4 linked regions of the Callithrix jacchus genome follow. The protein of the gene in region 2 interacts with the protein of the main gene of each other region in a pairwise test. Links are inferred from orthologs where the notes say so. Each region holds a gene or a part of one and is shown on either strand. Other genes may lie near its edges.

The links. The genes of interacting proteins can lie anywhere in the genome.
Region 1: the proteins of TRIM42 (region 2) and KCTD9 interact in binary tests that used the Homo sapiens proteins (3 or more experiments, as listed by UniProt). The two-hybrid records come from large-scale screens. The link is inferred for Callithrix jacchus from reciprocal best matches to the Homo sapiens genes TRIM42 and KCTD9.
Region 3: the proteins of TRIM42 (region 2) and YWHAQ interact in binary tests that used the Homo sapiens proteins (3 or more experiments, as listed by UniProt). The two-hybrid records come from large-scale screens. The link is inferred for Callithrix jacchus from reciprocal best matches to the Homo sapiens genes TRIM42 and YWHAQ.
Region 4: the proteins of TRIM42 (region 2) and KLHL38 interact in binary tests that used the Homo sapiens proteins (3 or more experiments, as listed by UniProt). The two-hybrid records come from large-scale screens. The link is inferred for Callithrix jacchus from reciprocal best matches to the Homo sapiens genes TRIM42 and KLHL38.

Annotation. Positions count from the first base shown.
Region 1 is NC_133514.1:16,081,028-16,086,474, reverse strand, and holds part of KCTD9 (BTB/POZ domain-containing protein KCTD9), read right to left. Parts: intron 3,808-5,447; coding exon 3,702-3,807; intron 2,996-3,701; coding exon 2,862-2,995; intron 1-2,861. UniProt on the Homo sapiens protein: Substrate-specific adapter of a BCR (BTB-CUL3-RBX1) E3 ubiquitin-protein ligase complex, which mediates the ubiquitination of target proteins, leading to their degradation by the proteasome.
Region 2 is NC_133518.1:43,744,086-43,750,005, forward strand, and holds the start of TRIM42 (tripartite motif-containing protein 42), read right to left. Parts: upstream 3,663-5,920; 5' UTR 3,497-3,662; coding exon 3,156-3,496; intron 1-3,155.
Region 3 is NC_133515.1:105,386,055-105,391,501, reverse strand, and holds part of YWHAQ (14-3-3 protein theta), read right to left. Parts: intron 1,015-5,447; coding exon 891-1,014; intron 1-890. UniProt on the Homo sapiens protein: Adapter protein implicated in the regulation of a large spectrum of both general and specialized signaling pathways. Binds to a large number of partners, usually by recognition of a phosphoserine or phosphothreonine motif.
Region 4 is NC_133517.1:73,744,029-73,749,475, reverse strand, and holds the end of KLHL38 (kelch-like protein 38), read right to left. Parts: intron 3,664-5,447; coding exon 3,558-3,663; intron 2,690-3,557; coding exon 2,400-2,689; 3' UTR 1,219-2,399; downstream 1-1,218.

The DNA of each region.
Region 1 (5,447 bases), on a different chromosome or scaffold from region 2:
TAGATGAAGCTTCATTTATACTTAAAGCCACTCCCCTTTTGGCTCAAGTTGAAGCCTGAGCTCCACCTCCTGTTGGATGATCAAGGCATTAATTAAATTTGCATAGGAGAGTGAACCCTGTTGTGAACTGTGCATGCCAGGGATCTAGGCTGCACACTCCTTATGAGAATCTAATGTCTGATGATCTGTCACTATCCATCACCCCCAGATGGGACTGTCTAGTTGCAAGAAAACAAGCTCAAGGCTCCCACTAATTCTACATTATGGTGAGTTATATAATTATTTCATTATGTATTACAATGTAATACTAGTAGAAATAAAGTGCACAATAAATGTAATGCACCTGAATCATTCCGAAACTACTCCCCCACCCTGGTCTGTGGAAAAACTGTCTTCCACGAAACTGGTCCCTGGTGCCAAAAAGGTTGGGGACCATTGATTTAAATAACAGAATGGGGGGCCGGGTGCGGTGGCTCAAGCCTGTAATCTTCCCTCACTTTGGGAAGCTGAGGCGGGTGGATCACGAGGTCAAAAGATCGAGACGATCCAGGTCAACATGGTGAAACTCAGTCTCTACTAAAGATACAAAAAATTAGCTGGGCATGGTGGTGCGTGCCTGTAATCCCAGCTACTCAGGAGGCTGAGACAGGAGAATTGCCTGAACCCAGGAGGCGGAGGTTGTGGTGAGCCAAGATCGCACCATTGCACTCCAGTCTGGGTAACGAGCAAAACTCCGTCTCAAAAAAAAAAAAAAAATACAGAATGGATTCTAACATAGTAACACACACACACACACACACACACACACAATTTCTTTTTTTAGAGGAGTTTCATTCTTGTTGCCCAGGCTGGTATGCAGTGGCACAATCTTGGCTCACTGCAGCCTCCACCTCTCAGGACAAGCAATTTTCCTGCCTCAGCCTCCTGAGTAAGCTGGGATTACAGGTGCTCGCCACCACGCCTGACTAATATTTTGTATTTTTAGTAGAGACAAAATTTCACCATGCTGGACAGGCTGGTCTCACACTCCTGACCTCAAGTGATCTGCCCTCCTTGGCCTCCCAAAGTGCTGAGACTACAGGTGTGAGCCACTGCACCCGGCCCCAAGGTAATAAAGATTATCGAAATAATTTTACTGTGATCCAAGAACAACAACAGCAACAACAAAGGCATGAGATGGGATTTTACTTAATCAAATTGCATAACAGATTTTTCCATTCCCTAGACCTAGTATTTTCATAGCAAGGAACTACCCTTCTTTTTAAAGCCCCATATAATACAATGAGTTTTGGTAGATGTACAGAGTAGTGTAACTACCACAGTTTGAAGCTGTTTTTTAATTTCTTTTTGAGATGGAATTTTGCTCTTGTTGCCAGGATGGAGTGCAATGGTGCTACCTCGGTTCAATGAAACCTCCTCCTTCCAGGTTCAATAGATTCTCCTGCCTCAGCCTGCAGAGTAGATGGGATTACAGGCATGTGCCACCAGGCCCCGATAAATTTTTGTATTTTTAGTAGAGACGGGGGTTTCACCATGTTGGTCAGGCTGGTCTCGAACTCCCAACCTCAGGTGATCTGCCCGCCTCCTAAAGTGCTGGGATTACAGGCGTGAGCCACTGTGCCCAGCTCTTAATTTCTCTTGAGATCACAGACTGATAGATAAGATAGAGATTCTAGTTAAGTCCCTGGATATGATAGGGGGAGAATGGTTAGAGAGAAGGGTGACTAAACATAACCTGTTAGGAGAACAGATATCAGCAGCTCTCCCCTCAATAGTCAGTCTTATCAGTCTTTGCAATCAGACAGAGGGAGGTTTTTGCTGCTAAGCCACACTGACTACACAGTAACTAAAACCTAGGAAAAAAAATATAATCTTAGATGGAAGTAATGTAACAAACAATAAATAATTGTGCTTGTGATAGGATTATAATCTTGGGTCAATTCTTTTTGCCTTCAAGTTGAAAGAGGCCTGCTCCTCTGCTACTGAGAGCTATCAAGAGATCTAGGCAAAAGCATTAAGAAAAAAAATTAACAGCAAGCTAAAATTTGAAACCCTGTTCTCTGCAATGCAATTTATGCCGGATTTCATAGCTACCAGCCACATGTGGCTACTTAAATTTAAATGAATTACAATTAAATAAAATTTAAAAATAAATTTCTCATCTACACTAGCCACATCTCAAGTGCTCAACAGCTATCTATGGCTAGTAGCTACTATACTGAACAGCACAGATATAGAACGTGTCCCTCCTGCACTAAGTGCTACTGGATGGTGCTGGTGTAGACCTATCAACAGCTATCAAGTCTGGTAGCTAAACTGAGAGATTAAGAAGACATACAAATACAATTCTTATGAAAAAGATGAGTTGGCAAAATTATAGTCTCAAGCTGAAAACCAAAAAACATACGGCTCCAATGTTAAATAGACTTTTCCTGGACCTGATTTCAAACCTGGGTATCATTTAAATTTCTTAGGTAGTTTAAGAAGTAATCTAGCCCATTTAATTCTGTTCAGAATTATTTTTTATGGAAAATGCAATATATTAGATTAATAATGCATCTATCAAACTTATTTACTTAAGAAAAACTCAGGAAAAGGAGAGAAATTAAATCAACTTAGACTGAATGTCAGGTGAGTCTTCCAATCCACAAGTGGCATCTATGACTTAGGTAAGTGAATCTTGCTCTGGAATTCTTATTTGTGTAAACACACAAATCAAAGGAAAATATCCCTCCAGTTGTGTTGGCATGTTACCTGGCAGTTTTACCAGCCAACTACTTTGTTTTGATTTCAATAAATTTTGCATGAAATACTTATTAAGTCTAGAGTAATAAAAACTCTTAAAATGTTGGTGAACTCACCTCTAAATCAGTTCCTGCCAGTGTTGCTCCTCTGAGGTTACAGTTCTTCAATTTTGCATTTTTTAAGGTAGCCACTCTCAGGTTAATTCCTGTCATCTGACTTCCTTCCATATCCACACCTTTCAGATTAGCACCTACAGTGAACACATTCTGGGAGTAGCTTAACTTAAAAATATAGTTATCCACTTCAATAAAACTGCAAGATGACTTAATGGGGTGAATAATGACAGCCTCCTTTAACTTTTGGAAATGAATCTAAAATCTTGTCTCTCAACAAACATATATATAAAGAGTTCACTGATGAAAGAATGCTTTCATCAGTACTTTTAAAGGAAGAAACTTCGTTCTGTTTTATGATAGTTAACACTTTCATACTGTGCCTCTACAGGTTTATGATGAGGGAGTTAAGTAGTCTCCTAAAACATACAAGTAAACAAAGTGGTCAGTCACAGATATAACAAAACAATAACAAACTAAGAAACAATATATTAAATCTAAAAACGATTTTTTAAAACTCCCTGGCTTTATGCATAAGAAATTTTTCCTTTTGGCCAGTATAAGAACATTATATTACATTTGAAAGTTTAAGATGTTGATATTTAATTTTCCAACTAAAATCTTAATTTTCGAGGCTTTATTTCTTCTAAGTCCTCAGTTTAGATTAGCATTTGATTGAGAAAAAAAGAAGGTATCTACTTCTTTGGAAGTTCTCCAAATATGATGACAGAAGAAACATATCCCCTATTGCTATCCTGTTTCACCCATAACAATTACTTTCCAGGGCTTTTTCCTTTATGGTCTGCTTTCTCCATAAATAGCTATTTACAGATAGGATCTCACCTTCTAAATTGGCTTTAAGACCAGAAGGATCCTCAAAATTACACAGTTTCAGGGATGCTCCTTCTGCATTAGAACAGAGCATTTTGACTCCCTGGAGATTTGCACACTGCAAAGAAAAAAGAAAAGTCCTGGTTATGAGGTTCATAATTTTGTTCAAATTAGCTCAAACAGTAAAAGAAAAAAATAGAAAAAGGGAAAGGGCTCGACTCAATACACTCATAATTATTTTGTTTACAATAAAGGCTTTTCTAATTAAACCCAGTAAGAACTGGAAACATTAAAAAAAAATTTTTAAACAACTGTTTTTTAAAAAGCAAATGCAAATTAACAACAGCATGTTCATTTTACATGAAACATAATGGTTTAGATAAAAAAGTTGGGAGAGTCAGAACTATGACATCTCTATCTCTATTTTTATAAACACTCCTATGCATGTCAATGAAACAGTCAAAATGTATGAGTAAGGAAGGCATAAACTTGTTAGGGATGTGAATTTTCTCTTATTACTGTAGGAATCTTGATGTTCTAAGTGAAATTCTTGATATCCAAAGATGATCCTACTGCCTTCAACTCAGAAGTCAGAATACAAATGCCAGCATTTAAAGACATTATTTAGCTACAAAACACTAACAGAATGCTTGTTGGGTCTTTCTGCACCAGCCATTGCAACATTATCAACCCTGAGCAGCCAAATCACAATGCATAATGCAGAACAGAGAGTAAAATGGCAGAAAATATATGTTTTAAGAGTTTATTTTTTTGTTTTGATTTGTTCTGTTGAGACAAAGTCTCACTCCGTCACCCATTATGGAGTGCAGTGGTGCTATCTCGGCTCACTGCAACTCCACCTCCCAAGTTGAAGTGGTTCTCGTGCCTCAGCCTTGCGAGTAGCTGGGATTACAGGTGTGCACTACCATGCCTGGTGTATTGTAAAATACAATAATTATATAGTATTTTTAGCAGAGACAGGGTTTCACCATGTTGGCCAGGCTGGTCTTGAACTCCTAACCTCAAGTCATCTGTCTGCCTTAGCCTCCCAAAGTGCTGGGATTATAGGCGTGAGCCACCGCACCCAGCCAAGAGTTTTAAATTATGTTCACTTATCTCAAAAGAGTTTTTGACAAAAATCTTTTTCTTTGTCCTTAACATAAATGAAGCTGCCTCTATTTAAAGACTAGGTCCTTCAAACTTTTTTTTTGATGATGTTAATCTTTTTCCTATTTTGCTACCAACCTGACTCTTCATGATAAGACAGAATAAGGACAGTGAAAATACCTAAATTTGTATTTGGTAGTTTTTGTTACTAGCTCTGATAGAAAGCCTCATGGAGAAATAAGCTGCAGCTAATGAGTAAACCCAAATTATAATAATTCAATAAATGACTGCCAAAGTAAGATGCTATTAATTCAAAAGACATACAGACATGGGCCTTGGTGGTAAGGAACTTACAGTTGTTAAAAGTTAATAGATTTCATTGTTGGTCTGCATATATCCTCTAACTTCAAATAAACACAGATAATTGTTATAAATACATACATATGTATATATATATGGTATGTATATATATGTATATATATAAATACGTATATATGTAGAGAGAGGGAAAAGGCCACTGAGATGTTAACTTCCAGACTGATGGATACCATGTTTATTTCAAAATATCTCTGTCAAATTCTTCTTGAGCAATAACATTTTCCCATTCCAGAAATGAGGTTGAATAGATTTCAAGTTTCCTTTCAGCTTTAC
Region 2 (5,920 bases):
AATAGATTTACCCCTGGGTCCTTACCTAACATGAGCACAAATCCTGTAATAACTTTTCCAGGTACCTTACCCTTACTCATGCTTTATGTTCTCATTTGCTGCAATCAGTCAGTCAATCCAATCTTGTCTAACTACAGGCGTGTTCTTAGTGGTTTTTTTCCTGGAGGATATTGACATTTATGTACATAGATGGAACATAGAGCAAGTCTGTACCTGAGACAAGCCTAGAACCTGTGTGATCTGTCAACCAGACCAATAGGTAATGGTATTGGATCTCGGCTTCAGAGGCAGAATGCATGAGCTAGAATGCACCACTTTACAGCTGGACCTCTGAGATGTTTTCTTAAACCTCTCTCATGTTCAGTTTTCTCAACTATATATCAAAGCTCACAGTACGACTTGCTTTGTGAGGTTTTTATGAAGTCTAAATGAGACAATGCATGATAAGTGCTTAACTGCTGGCACATAGTAAGCTTTCAGTAAATGTGGCCACTATAATTACTCCCCTTTGCTACTAGCCAGCTACGGTCTGCAGTAGAGAGAAATCACAGTAAAGGAAAATAGTGGCCAAGTCTGTGAAAAGTATGTGTCTACTGTTTCATTTGTGTGTGTTAAGGCTCTCCATTTGTCTAACGCCTGAGGATGATTTCATATATTGTAAGAACTATGGATGGAGTAAAAGTATACTTGTAAAATTGAAGGGCGTGTTCTAAGAACTTACAGTTGGCAAATGCAGTGTATAAAAACGAATTATTTGTGGGGATGCAGGTATAAATAGGCACACAATTTGCCACTGTTGCTATCTCCTCTGTTTGGATAATATTTGGGTAGTAATCTTGCCATTGTGGCTGTGTTCCTTTCTGCTTTTGTTGTCTTGCATTCCTTATGTGTCCCTCTCTTCTTCCCCCCTCCCTTGGCCAGGGACCTATGTCTGAGTCCACAGTCACAGATACTTCCCAAGCATATTGGAATGGAGTGGCCATGTGGCGACAGAGAATGCTCCCTGTGTAGACTAAGGCACCTGAAAAATTTGTCCTTTAGGGATCTGGGAGCTCTAGGCATGCTGGCCTCAATGTTCTCAGTTCTGTTTCCTCTCTGCTTTCCCAGACTCCTGCTTGTGTCCCGAAGGGATCACCTGGAGGTACAGGTCTTTAGTTTGCTAAAAAAAAAAAAGGCCTTGAGAATCAAGGTATAATATAAAGAGGCTGTTGTGAGTCCTTCACAGGTGGTACTCCTACTAGGAAGCTCATGAGCTAGAATTTTCATAAATAAGAAGTAGGGAGGGAGATGTTGGAGGACGAGAAAGAGGGCTCAGGGCTAAGAGACAGGTATTAATGGCCTAGGGAGCTGTGGTAGAGGTGAAAAAGAGTAAGGTAGAGAGGGATGAATGAGACCAGAGTGAGGCAGAACAAGCAAGGTGCTGAGCAGAAAGTGGTGATGAGAAGCAGAGGAGGCCAAGAGTCAGAAGCCAGAAGAGAGGCCAGATTGAAGACAAGCACCCAGAGCCAACCTCCTGACACATGCGTTAGCATCCCTGCGCATCCTCCACAAACCTCAGGCTTGGTCAGGGCATTCAGTGGCCATGGTTCCATTCCAAAGCAGCATCAAGACCAGTGCTTTATCTTCTTGCTGAGATAGCCTGCCTCTGCTCCTCTGCACAGCCTCCCCTCTCTCCCAAAATCAGGCCTGTTCTTGCACCTGGATTCTTACTGTATCACCTGTCAAATCTCCTGGCTTCCCACCTTTGCACCTGCAGGCCATTCTGCACATTAGAATCACCTGAAGGGGCGATGCTCATTAATTCAGATGCTCAGGTGGTACCCCAGACCAATACAATCAGAATGTTTCTGGGGTGGATATCGGGCATCAGTAATTTTTAAAGATCCCCAAGTGACTTCAATGCACAATAACGTTAGGGAGCAACTGATGCCTGAGGCATTTTCCTAAAGACCAATTTTATCTTTTTCCTGTTGAAATGGGCTCAGAGGCTCAGTTGCTGTTGCACAGAGAATTAGGTAGTTGAGAGAGGAATGTGGACACTATTTCCCACACTTTAGTATTTCTAGACTTGGACTGAGAATCCCTGGATTTCCTATTTATGCAGATACTATGAGAGGGCCATAGGTGGAGAGTTATGGGTGTTAAGGAGCTACTAAAGATTTAATGGCAAGATGGATAATATCTTTCCCCTAAGTTCACTAAACTTCTGCTTGCAGAATTGCTTTTCCAGGCTTGAAAGCTTTCAAACTGGCCTGCCATTTTTCTGCTTCTTCTAATCCTGTCATCTTATAGTGCTGTCATCTTTTCTAAGAAGTGTGCTCTTAGTACTTCAGACTCCCCTCATGTGTGACATAAAAAGGCTTGTTTGGCAGAGCAGGTGAGGATAATGTAAGACCTGATATGGAGGATTAGTACTCCAAATGAATAATTGAGACCCCAAGTTCCGTGACTTCTGGATGAGAAAAAGAGAAGGCAGTTGGAGTTCCTGGATGTCTGGGGTACTTAAATGGCTCTCAGGGTCAAAAGTGCCCCATAGAAGGTCTTACTTTTCCAATAAATGTTGCAGGTATTTAGAGTTAATAGGAAGAAAATGAGCACTTTTTATTTTTCTATAACATGCAGATTATAAAGAATATACATTAATTCTTATATCTACAATATCATGGGGGTGGGGGGGTCTTGTCTCTGTTTTGCAATACAGCATTCTAGAGTTAAGATCACAAATTTTAGGTTCCAATTCTGACTCTGAATCTTTCCAGCTGTGTCATCCTGGGGCAACTTCTTCTCAAAGTTTCCTTTGAGAAGGAAACTTCTCAAATGCTCAGTTTCCTCATGAGAACAGTGGACTTTGGGTTATGCATGAAATGCCTGGAAAATTGTGTAAACACCAAGTATTAGCTATTACTATTTTGTACAGATGAGAGAGGGTTCAGAAGAGTGAAGTGCTCTAGTCGATGATGCTTAGATTGGAGCTCATGGTCTACATACATAGTGACCATATATGATACAGTTAATTGCTACAAAATTCTTGGCTCCTTTTTTTTAGATAAATAAACACAGAGGGGCACTGGCCTGCCCTGTGGACTTCACAGCTAGCAAGGGGTCCCTAGTTTTCCTGAGCCAATGTGGCTGCACATCTGGTGCCTGGCACTTACAAGGTATGGATGCTCTTGAGGCGGCCCTTGTGGAAAGTCACGGTGATATTACGGCAGCAGCGGCTCTCATAGTAGTAGCACTTGACGTTGCTGCTGGCTGTGCAGCAGCACTTACAGTTGGGATCATTGGCCCAAGAACAGCAACACCAATGGCAGTTGGGGTTCTCAGCACAGGTACAGTGGCAGAACTGGCAGTTCTGCTCATCTTTGTAAGGGCAGGGGAAGCAGGTGCAGTTCCGCTCTGAGGTAAAGATGAACTTGCAGCATAGACAGGAGCATAACCGAGGACAACATCGCTGCCATGTACAACATGGACAGCAAACACACATAGCAGTTTCCATGGTGCCTACATGATTAACACTGCCCCGCTAGGATTTTTGATGCCCCCTCTACCAGAATACTGCTATCAGTTCTCCAGTAGAGGAGTCTCTCCTCCCCCTTGTGAGGCCGTCAGCTTGGGAGTTGCAAGAAGTTGGCTGTTATGAGGCGTTCACTGTTGGTGTCCCTACCAGGAAGCTCATAGGCTGGCATTTACATATATCAGCCTGAGGGTATTTGCTTATGTCACAATCCCTCTCTCTCTACCATGCTGGGTGGGTAGGAGGATGCGGCCTTGTGGGTGTAGCAGGTATGTTGATGGGCTCTCCATGCTTCCATGGAACCAGCTGTAGAGGAGTGGTGATGCAGTGAGCCTTCCGGAAGTTCAGTTGTCATTTGTCAGCTTTTGGAAAATGGAGATTTCGGAAGCTGTTTCTCCTTGTTTGGTGTTCTGCCTGCAATTTGGGCAAGTTGACTTCATATTATGTCTTCATAGACTGAAAGGCTTGGGTACAAAGTAGAATAACATGGTTTTCTTCATGTTAGAGGAACTGATAGAATTCTATTTGAACAAAGGAATTATATATCCCCCAGATAATAGCAATGCGATATTTAAAGAGATATCACCATTAGGAGAGAGTTAAAAAACACATAGATTCACTTTAGGGACTTCTTTCAGTAGTAATTGATTTTATCAATCAATGCATAGTCACTGCTCATTTTCATGAAGCTTTATACATAAGCCAATCTGAATATTTCTTGGCTTTTTGTAGCTTCATGGTGTTTGGGTGAGGCTCAAGCTTGCTCACTTTTCCCCCACCCTATTCCCACCCCACTACATGCCTTTTAAAAAGAGACTGGAACTCTACATGAAATCTTTCACTGTTCTGCTAGTATATGCTCAGGATCCTTAGAAACAAGACCCTATATTTTACAGAAAAATTTCACTTTCCAATTTATGCAGCTTGCGAAGATTAAAGGAACAGAAATTTCATGGTCATAGTACGTTATAGTGTGAACATTTTCTTATTTTTGTAAAAAGCAGAAGAGCTGAATTTGGCTGCAGGAATTAAGTGCATAATTTATTATCTCTCCTTATGGTTATCACCTCTATAATAGGAAAGAACATCACTGAGTGCCAACTATGCCAGCCACACATTGATATTAGAGTTCCAACAGTGAAAATCCTGGATCACAGAATATGTGCTTGATCTTTTTTTGATACAAACTGCCAAATTTCTTAAATAAATGTGCCAGTTAATACCAGCAAGTAATGTAAGATGTTCAAAAAAGTGAAACACCTTTTCCCTCCATGTTTGCCAAAACTGTTTCATTAATATTTCTCCCCATCCTCCAGGCACATAGGTTGGAGTTTCACTCCCAGATTTATGATACATTTTTACTATTGGTTTCTGTAAGGTCTTGTTAAAAACTTACTAATATGTAATTCACTTACCATTCAGTTCACCATTTTAAAGTAAATGGTTTTCAGTATATTCATAAAATTGTGCAACTATCACGATTATCTAGTTCCAAAATATTTTCTTCACCCCCAAAAAACACTCATAAGCAGCCTCTCTCTGTTCCTGCCTTCCCCCAGCCCTTAGCAAATACTCTACTTTTCTGTGTTTATGGATTTGTCTGTTCTGGAGATTTCATATAAATGCTATCATGTAATACATGGCTTTTGTGTCTGCCTTTAATTTAGCATAATATTTTCAAGGTTTATCCATGTTATAGCATGTATCAGTATTTTTTATGGCTGAATAATTTCACATGAATATACTACATTTTATACATGATCAGTTAATGGACGTTTAGATTGTTTTCACCTTGTAGCTGTTAAATGTTTAAATGCTTCTGTGAGTATTTGTGTACAGGTTTTTGTAGAAACATATGTTTCCATTTCTTTTGGATAGGTACCTAGGTATGGAATTACTGGATCATACAGTAACCCTATGTTTCATTTTTGAGGAAATGCCAAAGTGTTTTTCAAAGTGACTGCACAATTTTACACTCCCACCAGCGATGTGTGAGGATTACTATTTCTCCACATCTTTTCCCAAACTTCTGTCTTTTTTTTCTTCTGATTATCGCCATTATAGTAGGTATAAAGTGGGATCTCATTGTGGATTTACATTTGGATTTTCCTGGTGGCTATGATATTGAGAATCTTTTTATGTCCTTGTAGGCCATTTGTATGTCTTCTTTTTTTTTTGAGACGGAGTTTTGCTCTTGTTACCCAGGCTGGAGTGCAATGGCGTGATCTCGGCTCACCGCAACCTCCGCCTCCTGGGTTCAGGCAATTCTCCTGCCTCAGCCTCCTGAGTAGCTGGGATTATAGGCACGCGCCACCATGCCCAGCTAATTTTTTGTATCTTTAGTAGAGACGGGGTTTCACCATGTTGACCAGGATGGTCTCGATATCTTGACCTCGTGATCCACCT
Region 3 (5,447 bases), on a different chromosome or scaffold from region 2:
ATAAACCAGCAATATACCAGCAATAATATACCAGCAATAACATATTCATCTCACCTCTCCTCCTCAGAAATTTGATTACATGTAATTAGCAGTCAATGTTATGACCCCTTAAAATAGATGATAATGAATTAATATGACAAACAGAAAAGGCACAACATCCTGATTCCATGTTCTATGAGTAATTTCAGTTATCTGCATTTTAAGGCATAATGACAAAAAGGCCATGTGAAATGCAGAATGACTCATAAAGTTTGCGCAAAAATCTCTGGAGCTAAAAACGAAACCAAACTGGCAGGATAAAGTAAATTCTGCCATTTTTCTAGACCTTTGAGTTGCACATCAAATCTAGGGCTGATCACTCCAGACTTCTTTAGCCTGCCTGTGAGGTTCACAACAATTTTCCCAGCTCTGTGATCATCAATGATTTCAAATTTGCCAATGTAACCATGCTTCATCATCACAATGAGAAACCAGATGATGACTTTGGAGCATGGCCTAATAAGCACCTGGTGTTTGCCTCTTTTCGGCATCGTTGATGCTCGAGAGCATCAGCCAGGACATTTATGTGGACCACTGTGGTGGCGCGGAAAGATGGTGGAAAGAGCACAGTGAACCAAAATTCTAAAGCATGAAAGATTATGCCTGTTTTAAGTAATACCATGTGCAATTATAACTAAAGTTCATAGATGAGTCTTTCTTTTAAAGGGCACATGATGTAAATTTATGACCCAATTTTCATTTTTGAGAATGTAAGATAATACTAATTTTCTTGATGTATGTTCAATTATTTTTACATCACAAAGAGCCTGGAGGCTACATATATTGTCACAGTGACCTGTTTGTCCCCTTTTTTTGTACTTTAGTTTTGCCCATATAACAAATATACTTACGTTTTCGATCATCACCACATGCAACTTCAGCAAGGTACCGGAAGTAATCACCCTTCATTTTCAGATAGAAGACCTTACTCTCTGGATTAGTTGCATTGGCTATTAAGTATTTATCCAGCAACTCCTGAAATAAATAAGACACGGGAACATTAGGCACTGAACTTCTGCCTGCTGCACATTATCATTAAATGATCAAACTTCTGCTTGTCGGGCATTTCAATCATTAACTACTACAGTAATACTATACCATATCAGCCTGGACTTGAAGCATGTTCTTAGGGCAGGGGTTAGGTTGTCGCCCTGGGAGGCTTTAAATGATGATGTAGCCTATAATTTCTAATGGTAATACTAGATTACACCACACATTGTAATTTGAAAGACACTGTCTGTTCTCTCATCTATTCATTCAACAAACATTTACTCACACCGCTAGGTGCCAAGTATTTGACTATAATAGATATAGAGAAGACTTAAAATCAGGTCTCTGCCCTCAAGAAGCTCAGAGTCTGTAAAGCATACCAACTACACACCAAGCATTAAGAGAGAAGGTGAATACAGTGCTATGGAAGCACAGCGAGGGAGTACATGGCTCTGCTGGAGATGGCCTCCAGTTAGACAGGCTTCCCAGGGAAAGAGTATTTGAAGTGTCAAGAAGGAAAAGTAGAAAAGCAACAAGCAGAAAACAAGGATGTGCACTCATTTTAGGGAAGGGAAAGACAATGTTTAAGACATCAAGTACGTGGGAGAACAGTGCTACTCAGTGCCCACTGCAGGCAAGTGTCCATCTAAAGCAAGGCAAATACAGGAATTGAGAGTAAGAGGTTTAAAAACTTGCACAGCAAATAAAATAATTTTAGGTCTACTAAATGTAATTTTAAAACAAACTTAGAATTCTGGAGTATGTCTTTTATTGTTAATTTCATACAAAGAAATTCTCACTTCTAGACGTACAGGGTATGCCTTGGAGTATAAAAAGTCACAAAAAACAAATATAATAGAAATCTTAGATTCAATTTTTCTTGATGCTAGGTCATTCATTTAGAAACCTTTTTATATTAAATATTACAAAGCAGAATGAAATTCTCATATAAATGTTAAGATACTAATACCTACTTCATCATTGGTTTGTTTTGAGAATAAAACCAGTAACAGATGTCAAAGTCTGGAATAGTGTGACATATTAAGTGCTCAGTAAATGTTAGCTAGTATCAACCTAGGTACACAGTTTGAAAAGTACTGCTCCAGGAAAAGTGAAACTAGTGAACATTTTAAAGCAAGGAAGAGAAAGAATCCTTTTTACATTTTGGAAAAATAACCACAAATACAATCAATTAATATTATATAAAAATACCATCTATGATACCAACAAGACTGATTCAAATTCACATAAATGCTAAAGAAAAATAAGGCTGTTTATAGATTTAAAATACAAATGTTTAGAAAACACAGTTCTAACCAATAACTCTCTTGTTGTTTATCTGTTTAGAAGTGGTTTAACAAAATGCAATCACTGCATCCACATATTTCTTTTCTTTTTTTCTTTTTTGAGATAAAGTCTTACTCTGTTGCCCAGGCTAGAGTGCAGTGGTGTGTTCTTGGTTCACTGCAACCTCCACCTCCAGGGCTCAAGCAATTCTCCTGCCTCAGCCTCCTGAACAGCTAGGACTACAGGTGCACACTGCCACACCCAGCTAATTTTTGTAGTTTTAGTAGAGACGGGGTTTCACTATGTTGACCAGGCTGGTCTCATCTCCTGACCTCAGGTTACCTGCCCACCTCAGCCTCCCAAAGTGCTGGGAATACAGGCATGAGTCACTGCTTCTGGCCCATACGTTATTTTTAAAGAAAATAAACAGAGGCCAAGTGTGATGGTTCATGTCTATAATCCCAGCACTCTGGGAAGTGAGGTGGAGGCAAGAGGATTGCTTGAGAGCCCAGAATTTTGAGACTAGCCTGGGCAACATAATGGGACCCGGTCTCTACAAAGAATTTAAAAAAATTAGCCGGGTGTGGTGGCACACACTTGCAATCCCAGTAACTTGAGAGGCTAAGGCAGAAGGATGGCTTAAGCCCAGGGGGTAGAGGGTTCAGTAAGCCATGATCGTGCTACTGCATTCCAGTCTGGGAGAGATAGCGAAAGAAATCCTGTCTCTAAAAAGAAAAAAACAAAAACAAACAAACAAACAAAAAACAGGAAAATAATTAAAATCCTTTAATTTAAAAAAGATTTTAAATTAATTATTTTAATGTATTTAAAGGCCTGAGGCCAGAGGAAGTTACACACACACACACACACACACACACACACACTCTTAGTATAAAATTAAGTGTTGAAGTCCTAGAAGTTTATACATTATAAAAGTAATGAGTATCAAAATTGTGGCTCAAGTTGGAAAGTTGCTGAGACAGGAGTGTGGCAACAGAGGTCATTAAGGGCATACCCAAACTAAAGGCAACTGTGACAAGTGTATGACAAGTGATGTCAAGATGTGACAAGTGATGCTCCAGCATCACTACACTCTTAACTAAAAAAAAAAAAAAAAAAGACAAATCAGATGTTAAGTATTGTGCTCAACATCACCAATATAATTTTAATAGTTATTTAATAAACTGAGGCCGGGCGCAGTAGCTCATGCCTGTAATCTCAGCACTTTGGGAGGCTAAGGGGGATGGATCACGAGGTCAGAGTTCAAGACTAGCCTGGCCTAGATGGTAAAACCCCATCTCTACTAAAAATACAAAAAAAATTAGCTGGGCGTGGTGGCGGGCACCTGTAATCCCCAGGTACTTGGGAGGCTGAGGCAGGGAACTGCTTGAACCCAGGAGGCCAGAGGTTGCAGTGAGCAGAGATCCCATCACTGCACTCCAGTCTGGGTGACAGAACAAGATTCTGTCTCAAGGAAAAAAAAAATTGCGACACTCAAATCTTAAAAATATATTACTTTAATATTTTTCTCTATTACCATTTTTACATATTATGGATGACTTTCAATTTAAAAACTATTTTTATGAACTGAATTAGGGTGGTGGTAGAGGGAGGGAACAGGAGGCAATGGCGAGAAAGTCACAAAAAAGTTCTACATCTCAAACTGACTGAGTCACTGCTATCTTTAAATGAACGGATTCTGAGAAGTACTATCAAAGAAGGCAAACACAGTACTCATACTGAGAGAAATACCACCTCTGCCTGTACCCACACCAAGGAACTCTAATGTAAAATAAGATGCCTCTCACTTTTCTTGTTCCTCCAAGTGAATCAGTCAGTTACAATGAAATTCCAGAGGATCTCCGAAAAGGTGCCAGCTCTGGTAAGCTACTCATCTAGTGCTCTGTTAAATGTGGTAGATATGTAAGAGCAGGGGCTGAGAGAAGTCGGACTAGAACATGGGCTTAGGGTGAGGAGTAGGGAACAGAGAAATTTCCATTCTAGCACTAGTCTCTCATGCTAGATGTGTGGGTGTTCACAAGGACTTATGGACCAAGGGCCTTCCAAAGATTCAGAAAGCTGCCAAACAGCTACTGCATTCATTACAAACACAGCCACTTAGGAGCTAACCAAAACCTTTCCTTTCTAAAATGATTGACTTTGACTACTAGTTTGCATACAGCCATTATGTAGGATTTATAGTGGTGGGCTTTTATAAAGGGACTTGGGCATTACTTCCACCCTGGAGTTTCAGCCAGGTATCATGGTTGTTCATCAGATGCCACTAGCTCTCTGTGAAGGAAACAACAGGTACAGAGTAATTCTGTCTTTCCATATACTATCAGTAGTAAAGATGTATACTTTAGCCCAGCTAGAAGACATAATGGATTCCGCTTCATGTCTTACCCAAATAATCAAGGCTCTATTTGTATTATCAATACCAAATATTATTAATATCAGATAGAATATAGGCCATAAATGTGTAAGATTTTTAAAATTACTGTGAAAACACAGATTAGAGACCAAAACCCCCAAACTGACACAGCTCCCTGAAAGTCTTTCCAAATAAGGGTACTGGTATCTGGTAAGAAGTCAGGAGGGAGAGCCAAGAGCGGTGGCTCGAGTCTGTAATCCCCAGCACTTTGGGAGGCCCAGGTGGGTGGATCACTTGAGGTCAGAAGTTCGAGACCACCCTGAACAACAAGGTGAAACACAATTTCTACTAAAAACACAAAACTAGCGGGGCGTGGTGGCGCACGCTGATAATCTCAGCTACTTGGGAGGCTGACGCAGAAGAATTGCTTGAACCTGGGAGGCAGAGGTTGCAATGAGCCCAGATCACGCCACTGCACTCCTGGACAACAAGTGCAAAACTCCGTTCCCCCCCGCCCCCCACAAAAAAAGTCATCAGGAGGGAGTATAGTTAAAAGTTCCCCCACTAATTTCTTCTGTACATTACTCTTATCAATTAAGCAGGGAGCTCCCCCTTGTAAACTCTTCCACAAATTTTATTATCTTAGGAGTTTTGATGGGTTAAGATTGGGGGTCCTTCTGGTGCTGACAGTGTTACTTGACTGAGGGGGAAAACATGGATGGTAATGTGTTCTGAGAATTTGAAAACTCAAGAGGTC
Region 4 (5,447 bases), on a different chromosome or scaffold from region 2:
AGAGGTTTAGTAGACTCACAGTTCCATGTGGGGGCTGGGGAGGCCTCACAATCAGGACGGAAGACTGACAGGCACGTCTTACATGGTGACAGACAAGGAAGAGTGAGAGCCAAGTGCAAAGGGAAACGCTTTATAAAACTATCAGAGCTCATGAGACTTACTATGTTCAGAACAGTATGAGGGAAACCAACCCATGATCCAATTATTTCCCACCAGGTTCCTCTCACAACACATGGGAATTATGGGAGCTACAATTCAAGATGAGATTTGGGTGGGGACACAGCCAAACCATATTAGAGAGCCAGATTTCACATGAGAGGGAGCAAGAGAGAGGGGAGGGGTGCCATGCCCTTTTAAACAATCAGCTCTCCTGTGATTTAACAGAGGTGGGACTGAAAGCCTGAAGAGAGGGAGTTCAAAGACACTAGGTTAGAACAAGATGCCAGCCAGCAGCTATGGGGACAGTGTTCAGGCTGAGGAGCAGGGCTGGCAATCCAGGCAGGGGGTCTCTCTGACCTCAGCCAAGTGATCTGGGGAGCAGAGCAGAGCTTCAGACCCTAGCAGGAGAATCCGAAGTACACAAAAGACAACTTAGAATGAAGGAAAAGTCTAGAACATCAACCTGGAGAGCCAGATGGGGAGGAAGGCCACAGCTTGGAGTAAACTCTGGTGCCAGGCCCAGGGCAGCAAGACTGATTGCAGAATTGATGGGGAGAGGACTTAGCCTACATCACTGGGCTTGGACAGGCTAGCCCAGGACAGGAGGGGAATGGAACAAGCCATGGAGGTCTTCCATGCCCACAGCTGGGCAGGGCAGTGGTTCTCGACCCTGACTACACATTTCAGTCATCTGGGAAGCTTTTCAAAAAATACAGTGTCTGGCCCCCCCCCCAACCCCGCAAAGCATCCCTGGTCATTTTTCTCAAATGGGGCTGGCCCCGTTTTCAGATGACGGTGTTATGCAGGCAGTGCCGAGAAGCGCTGTTCTCTACTTCGGCTGATTCCTGAGTTTGGGACTGAGCCAGTGTGGGAGGCACCTCCAGATAACGGGGGCTATAGAGATAGTCAGCCTTGGCATCTGAGGGCAATGACTGCTGTAAGCACTGAGAGAATTTGTTGACTTTCCCCAGAAGAACAATCCTTATAACACTGACCGAAATGAACATCCTGATTAATTATGCAGGTTTATAGCTCCCCAGAGGCTGCAGAAAAACATCATTTGGCACCAGAAACAAACTTTATTCTGGCAGTGCAGAATAATTTTACAAACATTAGATACTGAATTGTGCAGACGTCTCTGGAATTTCGATGTACTACATCCATATAATGCAGAAAAACAAGGTCAGGGCCAATTTCTCATGTTGCCACCTGGACCAAGCATGTCCAGGAATCCTCTGGGGTCTCAGCCCTCTTGTTCCAGATTTCAGTGGTGTCCTGGGCAGATGTGGTTTTTGTCTAGATTTCTCCCTTTGGGGAAATGCTTTGAATCCATCACATACAGTTTGGAATGGCTGTCAATCACAACAGGTAACCCCACCTCTGTCTGTGGGGATATGGTCCAGGACTAGCCAGTCCTGGCAACAGTGATTGGCTCAACGGGTAGGCATGGAATTCAAGAAAGGCCCATAAGCATTGTTCTTTAGGTTTAATATATGGGTAATGGCAAAGTTGTCTCCTGAAGATGTAAAGCTAGAAAATGAGTCTGGGTTTATCAGTTGCCATTGTCCCCATACTGTGTGGGTAAATAAAGAAGCTTGCTGGAGAAGGAAGCCTAATAGAGATGAGGTAGAAAGAGAGGAAAATCTCGGGAGGAGAGAGAGGAAGAGAGAGGGGAGACTGAGAGAGAGAGAGAGAGAGGGAGGGAGAGAGAGAGAGAGAGAGAGAGAGAAACAGAGAGGGGGATACAGAGACAGACTCAGAGAGAAGAGAGACAGAGAAACTGAGACAGAAAGGAGACATGCCAGGCATGGTGGCTCACACCTGTAATCCCAGTACTTGGGAGGCCGAGGAGTGAGAATCTCTCGAACCTGGAAGGTGGGGGTTGCAGTGAGCTGAGATCGCATTACTGCACTCCAGCCTGGGCTACAGAGTGAAACTTCATCTCAAAAAAAAAAAAAAAAAAAAAAAAGACAGAGATGGGGTGAGGAGAGAGCGAGAGAATGGGGAGACACAGAGACTGATAAAGGAGACAGATGGAGGTCGGGGAGAGAGACAGCGAGAGAGGGAGGGAAGGAGAGAGAGGGTTCTGGCAATGCTATGCCAAGTTCCAGGCCTCCTGACTGGTACCTCAGGCTTGTGAGCTCTCCCTGCAGCCTCTTAGGGTTAAGCCCTTTGGAGCTGGGTTTGTATCCCTTGCAACAAAAGGCATCTTGAGTAGGACAGCAGGTTTCTTCCTGACCTCATGGGAGGGCAGATGTGCAGGGTATGCACTGGAGAGTGAGGCAGGCGTGGTCAAAGAGCTTGTGCGGCAGCTGCCCCTGGGATGTCCAGGTGTCCGTCTCAGGGTCATAGCAGTCAAATGAGGCGGAGTCCTCAATGTTGCAGTCCGTGGTCAGGCGCCGCCCGCCCGTCACATAGAGCTTGTTTCCCATCACCGTGGCCCCGTGGTGCATCCTCCGGTCTTTCATGTCCGCACATTTTACAAATTTGTTGGTTTGAGGGTCATAAGCAAGAATCCTCCTTGTGTAACCTGAAAACCAAACGACACATGGTCAGGCTCAGCCTTGCTCATCTGGGACTGGAGGGGTCCTGGGACACGTCTGACCCCTGCCACTGCCTAAGGCTGAGGCCGGGGCTCTGAACTAGAGCATGGGGTGTAGAGCTGGCCTGCCAAGGCCTGCTTTGTGGCAGAGTGGGACTGGCACACAGATCTGTCTGATTCTGACCTTCACCCCAAGTTAAGGCAGCGCATAAGCCATTCTTAGATTGGGAGCAGCTTCCTGATTCCTGTAACTTTCTCAGCCTGGCAACTTCCTCTCTCAAATGCCCACTCAAGAACTATGACAATCCCAAGCCTTTGGAAACTCAGAAGTGGGTTCCCCACAACAACCTTATCTGGTAGGTACTTTTAGGAGCCTCATTTTATGGATGAGCAAACTGAGGCACAGAAGATGTTTAACTTGCTAACGAGTATATAGCCAGTTAGTGACAGAGCCAGGATCTGAACCCGGTCTATCTGACCCCAATACCAGTCTTCTTAACGATGACACTATCCTATGATTACAGAGAAACAAACCATTAGTAGCTGGTATTATTAACGGAAGCAAACATGTTTTATTTACTGTGTGTCTGGGATAGAGCTAAGGGCTTTAGATACACAAGTACATTAATCATCACAACAGCTCTGTGTGATAGGTATTATTTCATCTGTTGTTTACAGATAAAGACAGAAACTTCTGGATGAGGAAAAAGTTTTGTCAGATTCTCCACGCTTCTCTGGTTGGTTGGATGTGCTTTTAAAGACAATCTTGTAGAATAACATCTGTCTATGAGTGACCTTTTTTCCATAGACGGTGCCAAGTTTGTGTCACACCCAGCGATCCCCTGTTCAGACTCACCTCCCACAATGACAATCCGCTCCCCAAGCACCACTGCAGGGGCACACACGTTCTTGATCATTCTTGTCTCCATTTTGAACCATGAGTTTCTGGAAATGTGATAGACCTGAGGGAGAAATAGAATCATGGCACTGCATTTTAAAGTTAAATATTCTTTAAAAAAAAGGCAGAAGTAATCATTAAGAGGGTGAACTAGGAGTGAGATTTTTCTTTCTACTTTTCTCCAGTTTTAAAAACGTAGCTAGATTATTGGTAATAAACAAAATAGAATTGAAAAACCGGGAGATGTGTATTATTAAAAATTGATCTTAATGTGACCCCAGGAGATCAGTGGTTGTATTTCTATAGAATAGACCAAGAGTTTGGCGTTATAATAAATGTTTTACTTACCTTGCTTGGAGCATGTTTTTCTTTTAATGAGAAATGAAGAAACTTGGGTATTCAGAAAACCCATGATTTTCCAATCATTTTTTATTTCTAGCTCATGTTTAAATTTCTAAATGTTCTGGTTTATCCAAGAAGCTCATAGAGCCAAGAATAAATCTGAGGCTAAGTGAGGAAGGCTTTTGAACAGTTCATGCCTGAAAGTCATTACAGTCCTAGAAAAATGCAGCATGAGAAAGGGGAGAAAGACCAAAGAGAAGGAAGCAGGCTGTTTTACCATGCTCTGAAACGGTGGATCAAATCAACATTCCTGAAACATGTTCTCCTGTTAGTGTCCTCAGTTTAAATCTAAATATCAAATGTAAATTAGTTCATTATGGGCAAAATTGAGCTCAAGAGATATAGAATGAATTTCATATAAGAAAAGAAGGAACAAGAACATTTGTTTACAGAGGAAAAAAGGCGTAGTATTCTTGGCTAGAAAATATTTTCCTATAAAATAAAATTACCAGGGCAGGCACAGTGGCTCACACTTTTAACCCAGCACTTTGGGAGGTTGAGATGGATGGATCATGGAGGTTAGGAGATTGAGACCAGTCTGGCCAACATGGTAAAACTCCATCTCTACTAAAAATACAAAAAAATTAGCTGGGTGTGGTGGTGCGTGCCTGTAATTACAGCTACTCAGGAGGCTGAGGTGGGAGGATCCCTTGAGCCCTGGAAGTGGAGGTTGCAGTGAGTTGAGATCACACCACTGCACTCCAGCCTGAACGACAGAACGAGACTCCTTCTCAAAAGATAATAAAATAAAATAAGATTACCAGTATTATTAAAAATGTTTAAAAAATCAGATTACTAAATTTGATCTTCAAAACCATCCTATGAGGTAGGTATTATTATTGCTTCCATCTTTCAGATTAGACCACTGAGGCTCAGAGAGGTCAAATGACATGCCCAGGGTCATACAACTGCAGTGAGTTGGGGAGCTGGTCTGGTCAAGGCCAGAGTCCATGCTCTTAACCACCACAGTCATGGCTCTGCCTGGAGCCATGAAATTGTGGCTTTTCCTGATGGAAGCTTTTGAGATTGGAGACCTCTTGAGGTCTCTGTCTGTCCTTCAAGAAGTCAGCAAAGACTGGGGGAGGCCAAGTACTAGAGGAAGGGAAGGTCACAATGGCTGTTTTATCTGAAAATACGTAAGTGACAAACTCTCTAAGATCCTTGGAAGGAAAGCAAACACTGGTTGCATTTTACTTGAATGAATAATCGCCTCCTGGCCCTTCTGTTTTTCAGCTTTGGGTATGGCTTTAAAAATAGATTACACATTTTTTCATCATGCTCATCATTCCCCAAAGAAGCTGGGGCAAGCATAACAAAGGATGATTTTTGACCAGTGAAGGAAGAAATACTTTTGTTATAGTAAAGGATTTGCTTAATGCCATCCAGAAACAGGTAGAGAGAAGGCCAGGTAAAAACGTACACATACAGCACGATTTGCATAGTAAT